Saccharomyces cerevisiae S288C: one gene and its partners. The gene in region 2 interacts genetically with the main gene of each other region. Each region holds a gene or a part of one and is shown on either strand. Other genes may lie near its edges. The genes, in order: BBP1, YOP1, SEY1 and ICE2.

Region 1 (4,516 bases), 560 kb from region 2:
TTTCCATTTGTAAAAACATTGATTCATCAAAGACCTGACCATCACCACAGTAATGAACTAGTTCAGAGAGTCGAGGTATACGTGCCCTTGGGTTGGGACCATAAAATCTTCCGCCAGTAGGGATGACTACATTATTGATGATGTGATTACAACCGCCCCAAGTTTTAGCAGCCAACCAGAGACAAGTAGCGACAACCAATTTGGCTTGGTCCCGTAACACGATTCTCTTGGAACAATAGCGGTCATATAATCTAACTGAATGAAAAAAAATACCATTTGTCACTCGAGTGACCACAGACAGCTCGAACAAAAAAGTGATAATGTTGGACCTTGTTTCCACGGGGTTCATTTCAGGCTGCTGGTCTATTAGTTTTGGATTAGGTTTGAACTTACATGATTGAGCAATAACATTGGTGGAGATTTCTTGGTGGTATTCTTGCAGCATTTCGAAGTGAGAAAGTAATTCTGCATTAGATAGCTCAATCGGATAGTAGTCCGGTTTAGCATTGATGACGAGTCCCATACGGGGTCTTGGTTCAGCACTAGCCATTGTCTGTCGTTAAATTTAATGAATGAATGGAAAAAAGAAAAGATTTTCTTTTGTATGCAAATTATGATGTGGTAAGCGAATGAATTGGCAGCTATAGAGTCTAGCAATGCTGTATATAAGAAGAAAATTTGACGATGAAGTAAAGTAGATGTTAAAATAAAAGTAAGTTGTCCTTGATATTATCTATTGCCAATTCACTAAAAAACCAGTAAGAGGAGCATAATAGTTACCAGAGTCGATTGCTATTTTTTTATATATGAAAGAGATAGTAAGTTAAACAAGTAGCCAGAGGCTGCGTGCGATACGCAAATAGAAGGCGGATCTGCGTTCTGCGTTTGCGCAGGCCTTTTTTCCTTTCCGTTTTTCAGTAGGCCTGTCAGATCAACATTTCGCAGGTTAGATCCTCAAAAAGGGCCAACAGTTGTTTCAGTTGGTGTTCATTTCAATTTTTAGCAGTTATACTTAACAGGCTACGCCAAATGTGCTCTTCGCTAGGTATCCGCATGCGGAAACATAACGGTTTTTGGCGCGTTTCGTGACTAGAACACGCAGTTTTGAGGTTCAGCGGGACGAATTTCGTGTACTTCCGTTGAGACAAATTTCGCGATGATTTCCGTTTTCGGAAAGATGGAGCCGGGTAAAGCGCGCATGAATTGATAACTTGGCACTTTTGAACCTCAGTATCATTATTAACAATGTATAGTTGCTTTAGTTCGCATTTCAGGGTAAAAGTGCGGAGGATACGAAAAAGATGAGATAACTTACAGAAGGAAACGAATAGTGGTTTCAAAAAATGCCTTTCACTCGTAGAGAAAACAATAAAAGTTACCGCACTCCAACACAGGCGATACTGGAGGAATATTTTCAAGAGTAAATAGAAGCAAAGATGCTTAAAAATGGATACTTGAACCAATTTTTCTGTAGCGGTATATTACGCTGCTCTTTTAAAATTATTTCTGACGCGACCCGTTTTTGTGTCGCTCGGTGAAAATCACGAAAAACTTGACACTTTGAAAACTAATACAACATAAAGAGACTGAAGACGAGGAAATCAAAACAACGAAAAAAGTCAATCTTCGAAGGAGCATAGAGGCGAATGACTACTGAACAATGAATCAGGAAGACAACACGGGCGGAGGGGGCATTTTTGGTCTTTTCAAATGGACTAAGGATGCGCTGTTTGGTACGGACATATCACCTTCAATGAAATATAAAGATCAGGAAGAACGAAGAGACCGATCTAGGTATGCCCAAGACGACACAAATTTTTCTATGAAGTTTGGAAATGACTCCAACAGGAGGAGTACAAACTTATCGAGGTCAAATTCGTGGTCTGGTCTGGATTCAACGCTCCATAGGAAGTACGAGTTACTCCCAGAGTACAACGAGAACGGCTTTAACTCAATTGTTAACGGTGACCACCACAGCAAAGAGAGAATACGATCTTTACGAAGTCCTGCTCCGATAGTACCGAGAGAACCACTTCGTAACGAACCTACGGATACATTTGGTCACAGACTACACACAAAAAGGAGAACTATAAATGAGCTTTCCAATTCGCAGATACCCTTTATACCACCTCAGGAAGACGACCCTTTGCTCTCGAAATTATTTAACAAGGATGGAGTTAATGAGGTTAGAAGATCGCCCTATAAGTTATCGGTTAAAGATATACCAGGCAAATTTCCATCTCCCTTAACAAAACGTGATGAAATAGACAATTACTATGTCCGGGACGAAGATGCTTGCCACAAGAATAGAGAGTATAAAAAGGCATATTTTGATCTTTTTGCACAAATGGACTTGAACAGTAGAGACCTGGAAGATTTGTGTGAGGATGTTAGAGAGCAGCGTGAGCAATTCCACAGGAATGAGCAAACTTATAAGCAAGCATACGAGGAAATGAGAGCAGAACTGGTCAACGAGTTGAAGAAATCTAAGACACTCTTTGAAAATTATTATTCATTAGGTCAGAAGTACAAGAGTTTGAAAAAGGTCCTTGATCAAACGATCAGTCATGAGGCTGAACTGGCCACTTCTAGGGAACGGCTGTATCAGGAGGAGGATTTGAAAAACTTTGAAATACAAACATTGAAGCAAAGACTATCCGATTTAGAGCTGAAATATACCAATTTGCAAATAGAAAAGGACATGCAGCGGGACAATTATGAATCCGAAATACATGATTTATTATTACAGCTTAGCCTTCGTAATAACGAGAGAAAAGATACTTCTGCTGGTTCGAATATTTTTTCAACAGGACAATAGGACAGGACTCCATTCCACAATGGAAATAACAGTTACGACTCTAATTCGCATTCATGGGACACTGATTACTTAAAAAATATAGACGGATTCATAGAACGCTGAAGCAGAAAAGCTGACACGTTTCTCCCACTGTAACATTAAAAATACGTCATGATAGCAATGATAATGTGTTAACTACTTAGGTATGTACATTATATAGATAACGGAATAAAAAAAGATACGTTCTTATTATCATCACTCAACACGAGCTGTAATTCCCGCCCATTTTTTCTTCATTATCAGGTTGCGATTTTGAACAAAAAAAGTGAAACTTGAAGTTACGATGTGACATAAATTTGTTAAAATAAAAAAGATAAAATTCAGGATAGAAGTAGGTGCAACGCGAAATTGTCTCTGTCTACTTGTGCCTTGAACATCGAACTTACAACAGATTAACAAAGTATCGTTGCTCTTTTCATTCGTCTGTTCGTTATCATCATTGGATAGGGCTTACTTTCTCGCACGTGATTTTTCCCACAGTATAAATTTTGAGCTATAAGTGGTAATAAAAATTCAATAAAAATATAGGGAAAACAAGCCCAGTAGTTTTGATTTCTTCTATCATGTCAGCTATACAATCGCCAGCACCTAAACCTCTGCAGCCAACTTATCCAGCTGCTTCGCCAGCTTCCACGAATGCATATATGAAGCCGGGCCTAATTGGTAGTCCTGCCGTCAGTAATCATACCGAGCCTAACAATGGTAACAATGAAACTGCGGAGCCTCAGGGACCAAATCAGAGAATTGATTTGGGTGCCATGATCGAAGAATTAACCTCACTATTGGGAAAAGAAAGCTGGACGAAATATGCTCAGATCATCAGTCTTTTCATTTTAGGGAAGTTATCCAGAAAGGAACTTTCTAATGAATTAGAGCTGGTATTTTCACCAAGCGCTGCAAGCTTAGAAAAATCAAATACAAATCATCACCATAGTTTAGTACGACTTCATAACCAACTTTTATTAGGGATTTTTGCTAATTCATTACGTGAAAACCCTCTTGGGAGAAACGGTAATGAGAGTTCTTGGGGATTTGGCAATGGAAGCAACAATCCAAACAATAAACTAAAAAGAATCAATAAGCATAACTCTCAAATTGAAGTCTATAAAAAAATTGTCATGTCGTTACCTCTAAATGATCGAAATAGACTTAAAATGATCACGAAAGAGGCCGGCAAAAGAGGCTTCATTTTTTGCTCTGTATTTCAAGCCAGATTAAATAATATACCCAAAATTCCCATTGTAACCAATCCAGAAAGTTTGAAGCGTGTCAAGAGCAATAATTTAAAAACGCCGCTGGAATGGTCACAAGATATAATGAATGGATTCAACGTTCCTTTAGCGAGCGAAAGCCATTCTTTACCAGACACGGATTCGTTTTACTTAAGAATGGTTGGTATAGCAAGAGAACATGGGTTAGTCGGCACAGTGGACGCACGTTGCGTAGAGCTTATATCATTGGCCCTAGATCAATATCTAAAAAATATAATAGAGTTTACTATTGATACAGTTCGTTATAGAAGGAAGAAATATTCAGATTATTATGATTTGAATGAGAGTGGGCTTTATAAATCCGTATCAGAAATGGCTGCTGATAAACGCGATGCCAAAATTAAGCAGTTAGATGATGATAAAAATGAGGATGAATGTGCCGATGAAG
Region 2 (4,249 bases):
CGACGTATTTTGGTTTAATTAGGTCATATAACCTTTGCGGTTCATTGATACCATCATTTTCGAGCTTGTTGATAAGCTCGATGATTAATGAAAACATTAAGATTACAACTCCTAGCCCACAGGATATCATATTGGCCGGATTTTCACCTACAGAAAAACATGATACCATAGTTTGAATTACTTGAAGTGTTAGTTTAGTGTCATCCAGTTTCTTTTCACTAACAGATTTTGTAGCGGCAGGTGCAGGTGCAGTAGAAGTTGATGTCACCGTTTCATATACAGTTTTGATGATTGTAACAGTATCTATCATGTCATCATCATGGAATGCAAAAAGAAGACCCAGGAGTGGGACGAACGAAGCAAGTATTCTGTAAATACCAACCATTTCTTTTTATCTGGCGCTTTATATGTTTATGAATAGTACGTTATGATGATTGTTTTTTTACAAATGTTTGTGAATTACACTAATGGTAATTCCCTCTTTAGTTAGAAGTAATGGAAAATTAGTACTTTCTAATTCTTGTGATCAACGCTTTTTCAACGTTGCCATCATCAACAGAATCTCGATCTGCTAGCCAACATCAAAAAGTTGTTTGCCGCACATCATGTAACCGAACTTTCAGTACCACAAAAACTAATATGCACGGCGCTTGAAAAGTGCTTTAATTTTGTAAACTATTTTGTTTTGTAAATTTCTAGGCAGTTGAGGCTACCGTCGTGACCACAGAAAGAAAACATCTTCAAAACACTTTAGTGACTGTCCATATAGCCGCCGAAGTTAGTCGCTGATATAATTTGAAACCTACATTATTATTTGTTCGTTTGGAAGACACGTTAGGTTTAGTATCAATAAACTTCCCATCCGAAACACTTATTCTACTAGTGTGTTTCATAATGCGTAAGCCAGCACGTATATATTCATCTCAATTTGTTACACACTTAACATACTATATAATTCCTGAGAAAATGCCCAGCTCATAAACATCGGTAGTCCAATTCAAGAACGGGGGAACTGAATTTGGGAGTAATCAAAAAAAAAAAAAGACGTTACTTCATCGTTTTTGTTGTCATTGTACACTTCTTTCATTTCTTTTCAGATTTAACTTCTCTGTCCGTAGTCGGCAAATAACGGTCCTTTAAATGCAAGGGATCATCAAGAGATTTTGAAAAACTGTGGAGCCAGATATTTATTTGTCAACTTTGGACATCTACCTTAGTCTGTCTGCTTCCCTCTTTTTGACCTCTTTTAGTAAACTCTGAGGTGGGATGACTGACTCTGACGGAGAAAGTATGTAGATATCTCAAGAAAGTATCAGTCCACGATATAGTAGGAAATATTATACAATACGTAATGGAAGCAAAGTGTGCTTCCATGAGTTTTAGACAAATTTATGTCCCTAAAACTTCGAACTTTTAACGGGAACAATTTTGGCCGTGATAAATTCTTTTCCAACGCTTATATTGATTATCCGTTATTGGTTTTTTGTTGGAGACATTAAAAGATGGCCAATGGCGTAAGAAAATTTTGAAAAAAAGTCAGACATTCAAGTTGAAAAACTCCTTCATCTTCCTACTTGAGTCTATATTTTCATTGATATTTCCATAAGAGAAGGAGCAGTCAAGTTCAAGAACCAACTTTCCGCAGTTGGCAGGTCGAAAAAATAAATGCGAATTCTGTGGATCGAACACAGGACCTCCAGATAACTTGACCGAAGTTTTTTCTTCAGTCTGGCGCTCTCCCAACTGAGCTAAATCCGCATATCAGAATGAAATAAACAAGCATTCTTGTGCTTTATAAATGGTCCAAGCGTCTAACTTTTAAAGAGTACATTCTAAAAGTAAGAGACGAAGACAACATTATAATAATTTTCTCAAGACATATATGTTTCACCGGCACGTTTTGTTTTGTCCCCTTTTATTTTGAGCCTGAATACTATGCTTTATAAAACTTTAATGCGCTCAACAAGTGCACCTTCCAACGGAAAAAAAGAAATTCAACAGGGAGCGATGCCATCATCACATGCACGTTTTCAAGTATTTATAAGACTTGCTACTTGCTCGTCCATTCATGACTTTAATGAGGTTCTAATTTATTGGTGCAACTCTTCAAACTAGCTGCCCAATCAGTGCTGGAATGAGTGCCAAGACAAGCGACAAACCCTGTCAATCTCCTGAAAAACAAAAATTAAGTGCTTGAGAAGACCTTCAGAAGAGTTGCATAGATAGGATGGGTGAGCGCAATTACTAGTTACGCAGTAAGTAGGTTATATGGCTGCTGGAGGGGCAGTACTGATTTAATCACAATCCGGATTAAACTTCCTCCTGAAAAAAAAAAAACTACATCAAGTCAAAAGATTTTCATTCACTCTTTGGAAGGCTGTGTGGCATTCTAACCTTTATTTTTTTATCACCATTCTCGAATTTTCGTGGTTCGCTTTCTTAGCGCCGTTATTCTCTCTTCTTGTCCACGTCAAAGGGAGTATGCGTAACCCCTTTCAAGGTTGAACGAAAAAAAAAAAAATATGTCCTTCAAAATTTTTTTTGATTTAAAACTAAAAAACATTCCCTTGAAGCTTGTTATTCCGAAAGAAAGAATCTAAAATTGCAATTGGTAGTGAAAACAAATAAACAAAGACATAACCGCACTCCAATCATGTCCGAATATGCATCTAGTATTCACTCTCAAATGAAACAATTCGATACCGTATGTAAGATGGTTTTATTGGTTCCATCGTCATCATGGTTCAAACAGCCAAATGACCCGACACACGTAACCGAAGCAGTTATACTAACAAGAAAGCTAATTTTCACCCTCCTTGCTACATTTTTTTCTACAGAAGTACTCTGGTAATAGAATTTTACAGCAATTAGAAAATAAAACTAATTTGCCTAAATCTTATTTAGTTGCTGGTTTAGGTTTCGCTTATCTCCTTTTGATTTTTATTAACGTCGGAGGTGTAGGTGAAATTCTTTCCAATTTTGCTGGGTTTGTGTTGCCAGCATATTTATCGTTGGTTGCTTTGAAGACACCAACGTCCACCGATGACACACAACTCTTGACCTACTGGATTGTCTTTTCATTTTTGAGTGTCATTGAATTCTGGTCCAAGGCAATTCTATATTTGATTCCATTCTACTGGTTTTTGAAAACCGTTTTCTTAATCTACATTGCCTTGCCTCAAACTGGTGGCGCTAGAATGATCTATCAAAAGATCGTAGCCCCATTGACCGACAGATATATCCTAAGAGATGTTAGCAAGACAGAAAAGGATGAAATTAGAGCTTCCGTCAATGAGGCTTCTAAGGCTACAGGTGCTTCTGTTCATTAAGAGGCAACTCACCTATATCCTCAAATCAAACTCTCGTTTTTGTTCTCTTTGTTATCTATTCTATTGAGAGCATATAAGTACATATGTTATTAGTTGTTATATATCGCTACTTAACATATAAAATATTTTGGAGTCGTTTATGGTGTCCCAGAAGATAGCATTTCTATTCATCGTGTTGTGTCGTGACGTGTCTCTTGATATGCGCGACAGACCATCCAACGCAAGGTCATTAATCATGTTATGTTCTGTAATTTTAAAGGCATTTTTTATAGAGTTTCATCGAATTTGTGATCGAACTGTTCATTGGTGATAGATGAAGAGCCATTTAAATGAAAATCCAACTTAACTCTTAACTTCAGTTTCCCAGATCCAGAAATTTTCAATGACTGCTTGCAAATTTGGCTGGCGTTTATTGTGGAAGATGGATATAACTGGCCTAGTGTTAGCTTTTGAGCTTTAGGAACGGCACAGAAAGTTTTTAAGTCAGATATTAAAGACTTTGCCTGAAAATATAAATCCAAATGTGCTAATCCAGAGTTTGCAGAGAGCAAGGAAGCATATACATTCAGTGAGGAACTGTCATATATCTTGTTGGCATCCAATGGTAAGGTGACACCTGAGTTTGCCTCCACTGCCGACGAATGATTGATTGATTCTTCCTTGTTCGCATTTTTGGGCACCTGAGCAATGTCATTCTTCTCTCCAAAAATCTCTTCTAATATGTCAATTGGTTTCACATTGTCACCAGTAGAAGCCTTGCTTTCAGCCTTGCTATCCTCACCCAATAAATCTGACAGCAGATCAACTGGTTCGTTGGAGATAAGGTTTTTCGATAGAGCTTTTCCATTATCCTGTTCCTCGGTAATTTTTTCAAATTTAGGCATTGTTTCTAAAATGATCTTCTTCACAGAAATTGACTG
Region 3 (5,789 bases), on a different chromosome or scaffold from region 2:
AACGTTTTTCTAATTTCCGCGGATTTAACTCCGTTCACTATGATTTCTGCCAGTATGATACTGGCAGAAATCTACATTCGCTATATATAAAGAGGATATACTGGTAATAACTACAGCTTCCATGTGAGCTTAAAACGATCATGCTCATCTTTCTTCATCTTGATAGAGATTGGTAATGCTGTCATACTCCCGTGATTATAAAGCAGAATGAGAAATATTGAGACAACCGTAAAAACAGCTACTGCCCAGAATTTAAACCTTCAAACTTCATCATCAGAAAGGTATACTGTGTAAATAATGCGTAAATAGTAGGAGCATGGTGTTCTCTTGTCGTTGAAAGAACATCTGCGGCGAGCACGTGCGGCTTAATTCTCAAACGTCTCGCGGAGGTAAATAGTGTAAAGGGAAGCCTCAACTTTAAGACATGAAATCACACTGAAATAACGCCTGAAAGGTCAGGAACAGTGAGTACGTAGGAGTATAAGAGCGTGGGGAAACACAAAATGGGCAAAACCGCGGATAATCATGGTCCAGTACGTTCTGAGACAGCACGTGAAGGAAGAGAAAACCAGGTTTACTCACCCGTTACAGGTGCAAGATTAGTTGCTGGCTGCATATGTTTAACACCCGACAAGAAGCAAGTTCTCATGATTACTTCTTCTGCACACAAGAAAAGATGGATTGTCCCCAAAGGTGGCGTTGAGAAAGACGAGCCTAATTACGAGACGACTGCCCAACGAGAAACTTGGGAGGAAGCTGGTTGCATAGGTAAAATTGTCGCCAATTTGGGTACAGTTGAAGACATGAGACCCCCTAAGGACTGGAACAAAGACATTAAGCAATTCGAGAACTCTCGAAAAGATTCAGAAGTAGCAAAGCACCCGCCAAGAACCGAATTTCATTTTTATGAATTAGAGATTGAAAATCTCCTTGATAAATTTCCGGAATGTCACAAAAGACATAGAAAGCTATACTCTTATACAGAAGCTAAACAAAACTTGATAGACGCCAAGAGGCCTGAATTGTTGGAGGCCCTTAATAGGTCTGCTATCATTAAAGACGACAAATAGCTAGCACATACATATATATGTATATACGTCATGGTCGTCAAGCCACCGCAAACATATTTATCTATTCCTTCGCAAATATGCTCTTTTCACTTCGATCCGCCCAGGAATCCCGACATCATGTCTTGTAGGAAATTCGTTTGTTTAGGAGCAACAATATTGAAATATTCCTGGCCCAAAAATTCTAACTCACTTTTGTAAGCTTGAGAAAAATCTAAATAATGGTTCTTTAAATTCAAGAAATAGCTCTTATCCTTAGTCTGACAGGTAATTAGCAACAATTGCAAAAAATTTAGGTCGGAATAATCTTCAAAAAAAACTATTTCATAACCATTTTTATCAATTTTCTCGTACTTGGGGTGAAATTTCTCAATAAATCTTTCCAAAAAAATGTCTTTTGATTCATGTGCAAATGATATGTTAGAGATGAATAAATAGTTGAAAACCAATCTGCTGAAGAACTCAGCCACCGTGCTATCTTCGATATCATCAACTTGGCATAACCAGTCCCATAGTAAATCGACATATTTGATCATTGAATCATGTGTACCTAACATAAAATATCTCTCAGCTTCATAAACGAAATCTCCCTCTAATAGTTTGCTACCAATGGTGTTGTGCAAGTAAGGATCTCCAAATTTGTATTCACTAAATTTGATAGACCAATTGTTCATACCAGTAATAACGTCCTTTAAATTGGGCTCGCTAGGATCCAATTCGGCTATTAATCTAACCAATCTAGCAACTGAGATGTCATCAACTTTAACTTCCGCTAAATCATAAACTTCTAAAAGATAGAAGATCAAATCCGTGCCTGAACCGCCCTGCTTCGCCTTTAAAAATGAAAGGGCCCCTTGACTAATTAGTTCTATGGCATGCTCGTATGATTTACTTCTAACATATCTATTAGCAATAGTTCTCAACGTTTGATGCGCTTCGTAATAATCTCCAGCTTTGATCTTATTTTCGAATCTTTGTAAGGTTTTAGCGAGTTTCGCTTGTACAGCATTAGATTCAGCAGGAACCATAGCTTGTTATTATTATTTATGTCCCTTTATGATGTTTACTTGGTTGTTTTACCGCACATGTTATTATTTCATTTTTTTGACTTTCCTTTCACTTTTTTTCCCATTGTTTGTTACCTTAACGAAGAGCGACAAAACGAACAAAATACTGAAAGGTGTATTTTGATGGTAAATAATTATTGACTTATTTCAACAAACGGGCTACTAACTCACTCGACGGTTGACATACTTTAGTCATGGCTGATAGACCTGCTATTCAGTTGATAGATGAAGAGAAGGAATTTCATCAAAGTGCATTACAATATTTTCAACAATGTATTGGAAATCGTGATGTTGGTCTAGATTACCATGTCATCTCAGTTTTCGGTTCTCAATCGAGTGGTAAATCGACTTTACTTAACGTCTTGTTTAACACCAACTTTGATACCATGGATGCTCAGGTGAAAAGGCAGCAGACTACTAAAGGCATTTGGTTGGCTCACACTAAACAGGTTAATACAACTATTGAAATCGATAATGATCGTCCAGATATTTTTGTGCTAGATGTTGAGGGCTCCGATGGTTCAGAAAGAGGTGAAGACCAAGATTTTGAGAGAAAAGCCGCTTTATTTGCCATTGCAGTATCTGAAGTTCTTATAGTTAATATGTGGGAGCAGCAAATTGGGCTATATCAAGGTAATAATATGGCTTTATTAAAAACAGTTTTTGAGGTCAACCTTTCCCTATTTGGCAAGAATGATAATGACCACAAGGTGCTGTTACTTTTTGTAATTAGAGATCATGTAGGTGTGACTCCACTCTCGAGTTTGAGTGATTCCGTTACGAGAGAATTGGAAAAAATATGGACAGAGTTAAGTAAACCTGCTGGTTGTGAGGGTTCTAGCCTGTATGATTATTTCGATTTAAAGTTTGTCGGGCTAGCTCATAAGTTGTTGCAAGAAGACAAATTTACCCAGGATGTCAAGAAATTAGGTGATTCGTTTGTGATGAAAGGTACGGAAAACTATTATTTCAAACCTCAATATCACCATAGGTTGCCATTAGATGGTTGGACTATGTACGCAGAAAATTGTTGGGATCAAATTGAACGTAACAAGGATTTAGATCTTCCAACTCAGCAAATTCTGGTTGCTAGATTTAAAACTGAAGAAATATCTAATGAAGCTCTAGAAGAGTTCATTTCAAAATATGATGAATCGATTGCTCCTTTAAAGGGTAACTTGGGATCTTTAACATCTCAGCTAGTGAAGCTAAAAGAAGAATGTCTGACAAAATATGATGAACAAGCATCGCGCTATGCAAGAAACGTTTATATGGAGAAACGAGAAGCTTTAAATACAAAGCTGAATTCACATATTTCAGGTACAATTAATGAGTTCTTGGAATCATTAATGGAAAAGTTATGGGACGATTTAAAATTGGAGGTGTCTTCTAGAGACAAAGCTACTACCTCTTTTGTAGAAAGTGTGGCGGCAGGTAAGAGTAAGATTGAGAAAGAATTTAACGAATCAATGGAGACCTTCAAAAAGTTAGGGCTACTAATATCAAACGAAGAGATTACCTGCAAATTTTCCGACGATATTGAAGAAAGAATCAAGCAACTACGTGATGCTGAATTGAAAGCAAAAATCGGTCGTATTAAAAAAAATCTGGTTCCCGAATTAAAGGATCATGTGATTCATTTACTATCACATCCATCCAAAAAGGTTTGGGATGATATAATGAACGATTTTGAATCTACTATCAAAGACAATATATCTGCGTATCAAGTGGAAAAAGATAAATATGATTTTAAAATTGGACTTTCAGAGAGCGAAAACGCGAAGATTTACAAAAATATTAGAATATTGGCGTGGAGAACCTTGGATACCACAGTACATGACTACCTGAAAATAGATACGATTGTTAGTATATTGAGAGACAGGTTTGAAGATGTATTCAGATATGATGCTGAAGGTTCTCCAAGATTGTGGAAAACAGAAGAAGAGATTGATGGGGCATTCCGTGTTGCAAAAGAACATGCCCTGGAAGTTTTTGAGGTTCTTTCACTTGCTGTAACCTCAGATAACGTTGAAATTATTCCTGATGTACCAATGGCTGAAGAGGAAAGCGGCGAGGACAACGAAATATATCGGGACAACGAAGGTGTGTTTCATTCCCGTCGTTTCGCACACATCTTGACTGAATTGCAAAAGGAGAATGTTTTAGATCAATTCCGCAGGCAGATTAACATTACTGTTCTGGATTCGAAAAGGTCTATCATCACTACTAGAACGCATATTCCACCTTGGATTTACGTTTTGCTAGCCGTATTAGGGTGGAACGAATTCGTGGCTGTCATAAGAAACCCCTTATTTGTAACCCTTACCTTGATCTTAGGTGCAACCTTTTTTGTTATTCATAAGTTCGGCCTCTGGGGCCCTGTTGTTAATGTTGTTCAAAGTGCAGTTGGTGAAACAAGAACTGCAATAAAGGATAAACTAAGGCAATTTGTCGTTGAAGATCATGAAGTGAAGGAATCTTTTGAAATGAAAGATTTCTCAAAAAACGAGCAAAAAGAAAAATGATATGAAAATATTTTTTGATCGAATAATTTATTTCAATTTACCGTGTTTACTTTTTTGTTATTATAGTTATTATTATAATTACTGTTCTCCTAACGTGTCTGTGTGTTTGTATATAACTATAGGGAACTATTTATATGACATTAAAAATATATGCAAATGCATATCGCAAGCTTATGAGTTGTGTGAGTGGCTTCAATAAATCTGATAGATTTACACTAAGCAAAACATTTCAGGTTGATATAGCATTGATAGATGTTTTCCATTCATGAATCTGTTTCTCTAAAGATTGTTTCTCCTCATTTGTGAATTTGCTGAATAAAAAATGCAATACAGTCTCCCAAAATTGTTCAAATGTTCTTAAGTCATTCAGATTTGTCGGTTTTGATTTCAAAACTGTTGGTAAGCTCTTCCACTCATTCTTCTTTATCTTTGAACAAGTGAAAAGTTCCGAAAATACAGACACCCAAAACAAATAAATGTAATTCGAAGCGTTTTCTATGGTAGTTAATTTATCTGGGTTGTAATCTATGAATCCAATATCTTCACCATATTCCTTTCTTAAAGTGTGGTCAATAGCAAAGAAAATAGTTTCTTTTACTTGCTCAAACACATTTTGTGAGACTTTATCGAATTGCAAAGGGGGCGTTTCTATTCCAGGAATATGAGCATATGATGTGACATTCTGATCGAAATTATTTACTGTAGAGTCACGCAGATTAGCAAATCTCAGTTGGTTTTCTTCATATGCTCTCATTGCAATTATTTTCGCATCCATGTTCTTCCTAAATGAAACAGTTAATATATCTTCAGTTAATGCCTTTGTACAAAGATTCTTATCATTCGAAAGCAAAATAACAAAACAATTTAAAATCTCTTTGAAGTACAAGCAACAGTCCAATATCGAGTCATCCTTTAAACTGCCTGGATTCAAGCTTTGTTTCAATTTTTGACCTATTAAACCGGAATCTAAATTGGCTAGATTCTTATAAATCCAGTCGTTCCCCCATCTGGCCAATGTGCCTATTGTCCTATCATGTTCCTGATTAGTTGTATCGTCATTGTCCCTAGCAATATCAGGGCTCTTTTTTAGTCCGTCCAGTTCTTGGATTACGGTGGTTGGTACAATAATC
Region 4 (4,830 bases), on a different chromosome or scaffold from region 2:
CCGATGTTATAATCTGCTTCATTTTCCGAAGATCATATGTGATAATGGCACGAAAATATCGAACGCTAGACAGTGTGCAGTAGTCCATTTTTGTTTCAATCGCAATTAAATGCTATCCAGATTCAAGATACTATCGAAAAAACTACAGTTGTTAAACCTCGTCACCGCCTGACGATGATTTGTTTGCAAAAGAATCCTCATACACATCAAGAGGCGCACTATGTGATTCTAAATGGTCCCCGTAAAAGGCGAATAACTTCATATTAAGAATTGCATTAAGTTGCCAAAAGAATAGCTCTAAGAGTCTGTTTAGATCAACAGTCTGATCAGTTTTAAAGAACTTATTAATCTTTACCAACGAATAAACCCCAAAACAGAACGTTCCTAGACATAGGAGTGAATGTTTGAATTTGAACCACTTGGGGTGGTGAGCGTTTGCATTACAGCGAGAGCACGAAAATTTCGAGCACCGTTTTGTTTTCCTTTTGAAGTAGTGCTTCCCAAAGTTACCATCTTCTAGCAGTAGGAGTTGGTGCGTAGCAAAAATAAACAGTGATATCAAATCAAAGACAAGTTGTACCTTCAAAAACTTTGCAACTTTTGGATGCTGCTTCTTTAAAGGATGCAATGGCGGAATTAGAAATGTGTCAACTATATAGACGATATCGGCAACTCTTGATAATTTTTTAACCATTATAAAAAATCTAGATCGGGGTACTTCAGTTTGGTCTATTGCGACACTCGATTCCAATTCCCTCGTACGTTGCATTCCCAAATTTAAGAATGGATTCTTCTCATTATTCACTTTTCTAAGAGGGAAAGAATAATAATCCAAGGATGAAGATCATCTTAAGTACCTCTTATCGTTGTGATAAGAGAAGAAAAAGGGTTCTTGGAAATTAGCAAAACAGAAAAAAAAAAACCGAAATAAAATTATCTAGAATAATCTGCATCGGCTTCAGGTTAAAATCTACCACGTAATAAAAGTAGTATTTCAGGGAAATGTTATATATTTATATATTTATGTGTCTACATATTAGAGTATGAGTTAAAATGTTCATTGTATTTATTAGAAAATAGTGGTGAGCGTAAGGGATTTTCACTATGAACGTGCAAGGGACTAATGCAAATAATAACAAAAAAAGAAACTAACCAAATGTAAAAATGGTTCAGGAATGGCACTTAAAACAGATATCATCTATCACTTAGTTATAAGTCAGTTGGTATTTCACCTTCCTTTTTGTCTTCGCGTATTTGGCAAAGCTGGTAATGCGGCTCTTTTGACAATGCATCAGCTTCAACTACCAGAACCTATTAATTCTGTAGCGTATACCAAAATAGTACAGAAAATGTTGCACCAGTTCCAAAATCCCCATGAATCTACTATAATTTCTGGTTGATCTACGCCAAACCACTTTTCACTGCAACCCCATATGCACAGGTCTTTCTTTAGCTCACCTGAATATTGTAAAATCAGGTGAGTATACATAGCAATTAATATGCAAGGACTGTACCAATACAATCCCTTCATGATCCTGCGACTCTTGCGCAACTGTTTGTCATTTTTTCTTTGTAATGCTGGAATAATCCTCGTTGCCGAGTAAAACATCAGAACTCTAAAGCATAAATTGATTACTATAGCTGGGGAAACTGATTCGCTTGCCATCTTAATTGTAACTTGACAAAATTCATTAATGGATAGCGGAACACTAAAGGTGAAATTCTTGAAAAATTTCCAAAATGGTTTAGATATCAAGGATACTTTTTCGAATGATAGAATGCTAATGAGTTTATCATGAAAATCACCGGTTTTCTTTCTTCCTCTAGGAATAAAGGACCCCCATAACACCTCTGCATTTTTCAATATGACATTATGAAAGTAGCACAAAAGATTGTCAGCTGTGGGCAGATTTCTTTGATGTTTCTGCCAGACGTCTTTGAACAAATTTAAAATTTCATCAGTCGCGGTAGTAGCTAATTTGGGGGAAATTTCATAAATACAACGAACAATATACGCAAAAAATAAAGAGCTCTCTATGACGGATCCTTTTTGACTCACAATACCATACAACCCCAGTCCACATACCATAGACAAAACAAGTCCTAATAAGGACGCCGTTTGGATGGATAACGGCCATATGGGGGTGACATAAATCCGATACAAATAGTACAGCGATGCGGTAATCACACCTCCGGAGGTTAACAATGAGGAAATAATCCACGTGTTTGAATTCAAGTCATTTGATAACCATCTATTAGTTTCCCCGACGGCCTGAATGGCTAAAATAGTGAAAAAACCTTCCGATAGAGTAAAAAAAGGTGTGGACTTGGTAAGCACGAATTGCCACGGTTGTACAACAAATCGATAGTAGTAATAATATAAGACGTAGTTAATTTGATTGGAATTCAAGCTATTTTTCAAAGCTTCCAGGAACGACTCCGACTCATTATATTTATTTTTCAGAACGTTTCCCAACTCATCATTAGAAAATCCAGACAAAAACAGGTATAGCAAAGATGCAATGATAAAATGTTGTGAGTAATACAGACAGTTGGTAAAAAAAATGTATAGTCTTCCTCCATGTCGTCTTGCCAACACGTTAAGAGTCGTAGTTATGAAATATAAAGTGAACAGTGTCACCGTGAAGGAAAGCCCGCATTCCAAACCACCAACTTTAAACGAGATTGGAATTGAAAGTAGTGTGAATAACAGATAGAAACATGCTGCGCAGATTCGTCCACTCTGCATGAAGCTTTTGGACAAACTGGTCATCGTTGCCTAATCTTTAGCGTGATCGGCCACAAACAGCACCTCTCTAATAGATCTAAGCAATTACGCGATGGGCTGAGGGGAGCAAAACGGAAAAAGAAGCTTCACGAATACTATAAGATCCACCAACACTTTACGCACAGCCCTTCCAGTATCACTACACCTCGATCCTTTACCTATGTTCATCTTCTCATCAATCATCTCTCCGAAACCAGTAACCGCTCCAGTCCCTTGCTTCGCTTCAAGCTGATGCGATTCCTCGTGTACCATGATCTGAAAAATTTTTCCTTCGCAATACTACTATAATTTAGCTCATCGCATATTTTGCAATAATATAATACAGGGAATAAACTGCATTGGTTCAGTGAGACGGTGGTATAATTGCGAAGTGACCAAATTGTAATGAGTGACAGTTCTGTGAGGGAAAAGAATGATAATTTCCGTGGCTATCGGAAAAGAGGAAGACAAGAACTGAGGAAGATTAAAAGATCTTCTGCCAGAACTGAAGGCGGAAGCACAGAAACATTAGAGGACGTAGCAGAAGATATTGACCATAGATCCGATGAGGATGAAGTGTCCGATGTCGACAGTGGCGATGATTTCGATATTGAGGATGAAGAGGGTAAAAAGGAAAAAGTTTATGACGCTTTATTGACGATTCTCAAATCTGAACATCCAGAGCCAAAAAGAAGAAGGCGAGAGGCTGACGAGAGTAACAAAGCTCCTGCCGAAGTTGGGGAGGATGAGCACGAAAATACAGAACATGGACCAGTGGATGATCAATTGGAGATAGAGAATGGCCTTTTGGGTAATCACGAGGATGATAACGACGATGACAGCAGTGGAGACGAAAAAGATATAGACAGTGAAGATGAGCAAGATCCTTTCGAGTCTCATTTCAACCAAGTTCCGGAGAAATTCGTTGATAAGTTGTCGAATGCTTTCAAGACCAAAAGTGTAAAATACAAATCCGTAAAGGGCTCACTAAGTGACAGTGAATCATATATATATGCTAAACCGGTAGTAATTGGTGAGGAAGCATTGGTGGAAAGTCCGTACAGGTCATCATCTATATATTCATACTTTTTGAAACAAAGGCTAAAAGTGCAAAATGGACTATTGGATAAAAAAACTGATCCATTGACTGCTTTGCAAAAAAAATTAGTAGACCCCATGTTTCAGTATAAAGACATATTATACGAGTATGACTCCTACGAAAAGGACGAAGACGAGTACAGAGATTTATATGCTTTGCATGTTTTGAATCACATCTACAAGACAAGAGATAGAATCTTGAAAAATAATCAAAGATTACAGGATAACCCAGACACTGAACACCTAGATCAAGGTTTTACAAGACCAAAAGTGTTAATTGTAGTCCCTACTAGAGAGGTGGCGTACCGCGTTGTAGATAAGATAATTTCAAAATCTGGTATAGATCAGGTTGACAAGAAGGGAAAGTTCTACGACCAATTCCGTGACGACTCCTTACCTCCAAAGTCCAAACCAAAATCTTTCCAACACATATTTAGGGGGAACACCAACGATTTTTTTGTTGTCGGTCTCAAATTCACAAGAAAGGCTATAAAACTTTATAGCAATTTTTACCAGTCTGACATTATTGTATGTTCGCCATTGGGTATTCAAATGATCTTAGAAAATACAGATAAAAAAAAGAGGCAGGACGATTTTTTGTCCTCAATAGAGTTGATGGTGATTGATCAATTACATTCAATAGAATACCAGAACATATCTCATATTTTCACCATCTTTGACCATCTTAACAAAATCCCGGATCAACAACATGAAGCTGACTTTAGCAGAATTCGGATGTGGTACATTAATGAACAAGCTAAGCTCTTCAGACAGACAATGGTATTCACAAAATACATCTCGCCAGCGGCTAATTCATTAATCAATGGTAGATGCCGTAACATGGCAGGAAGATGGAAGAATCACAAGGTAATAGGATCAGAAAACTCCAGTATTGGGCAATCCGGTTTGAAAATCAGGCAAATCTTTCAAAGATTTGACATTATTGGGAATTCGATTATTGAAGA

Evidence for each region.
Region 1: of YOP1 (region 2) and BBP1, changing one suppresses a phenotype caused by changing the other (phenotypic suppression), as found in Saccharomyces cerevisiae (one study listed by BioGRID).
Region 3: mutations in YOP1 (region 2) and SEY1 together harm fitness more than expected from each alone (negative genetic interaction), as found in Saccharomyces cerevisiae (6 studies listed by BioGRID, with this or other methods).
Region 4: mutations in YOP1 (region 2) and ICE2 together harm fitness less than expected from each alone (positive genetic interaction), as found in Saccharomyces cerevisiae (2 studies listed by BioGRID).

What each region holds. Positions count from the first base shown.
Region 1 is NC_001148.4:66,065-70,580, forward strand, and holds BBP1 (Bbp1p), read left to right. Parts: upstream 1-1,660; coding exon 1,661-2,818; downstream 2,819-4,516. Other genes in the region: cyclin CLN2, read right to left, coding at 1-550; HFI1 (Hfi1p), read left to right, coding at 3,421-4,516. UniProt on the Saccharomyces cerevisiae protein: Component of the spindle pole body (SPB) required for insertion of the nascent SPB into the nuclear envelope and for the proper execution of spindle pole body (SPB) duplication. Connects the central plaque of the SPB with the half-bridge.
Region 2 is NC_001148.4:620,874-625,122, forward strand, and holds YOP1 (Yop1p), read left to right. Parts: upstream 1-2,653; coding exon 2,654-2,704; intron 2,705-2,837; coding exon 2,838-3,329; downstream 3,330-4,249. Other genes in the region: YPR027C (uncharacterized protein), read right to left, coding at 1-385; APL4 (AP-1 complex subunit gamma), read right to left, coding at 3,596-4,249. UniProt on the Saccharomyces cerevisiae protein: Required to generate and maintain the structure of the tubular endoplasmic reticulum network and the vacuole. Induces high curvature in membranes and causes membrane tubule formation. Involved in membrane/vesicle trafficking.
Region 3 is NC_001147.6:642,238-648,026, forward strand, and holds SEY1 (dynamin-like GTPase SEY1), read left to right. Parts: upstream 1-2,328; coding exon 2,329-4,659; downstream 4,660-5,789. Other genes in the region: polyphosphatase DDP1, read left to right, coding at 504-1,070; protein GET4, read right to left, coding at 1,157-2,095; SWT1 (mRNA-processing endoribonuclease), read right to left, coding at 4,889-5,789. UniProt on the Saccharomyces cerevisiae protein: Cooperates with the reticulon proteins RTN1 and RTN2 and the tubule-shaping DP1 family protein YOP1 to generate and maintain the structure of the tubular endoplasmic reticulum network. Has GTPase activity, which is required for its function in ER organization.
Region 4 is NC_001141.2:191,538-196,367, reverse strand, and holds ICE2 (Ice2p), read right to left. Parts: upstream 2,774-4,830; coding exon 1,298-2,773; downstream 1-1,297. Other genes in the region: YIL089W (uncharacterized protein), read right to left, coding at 152-769; rRNA-binding ribosome biosynthesis protein UTP25, read left to right, coding at 3,173-4,830.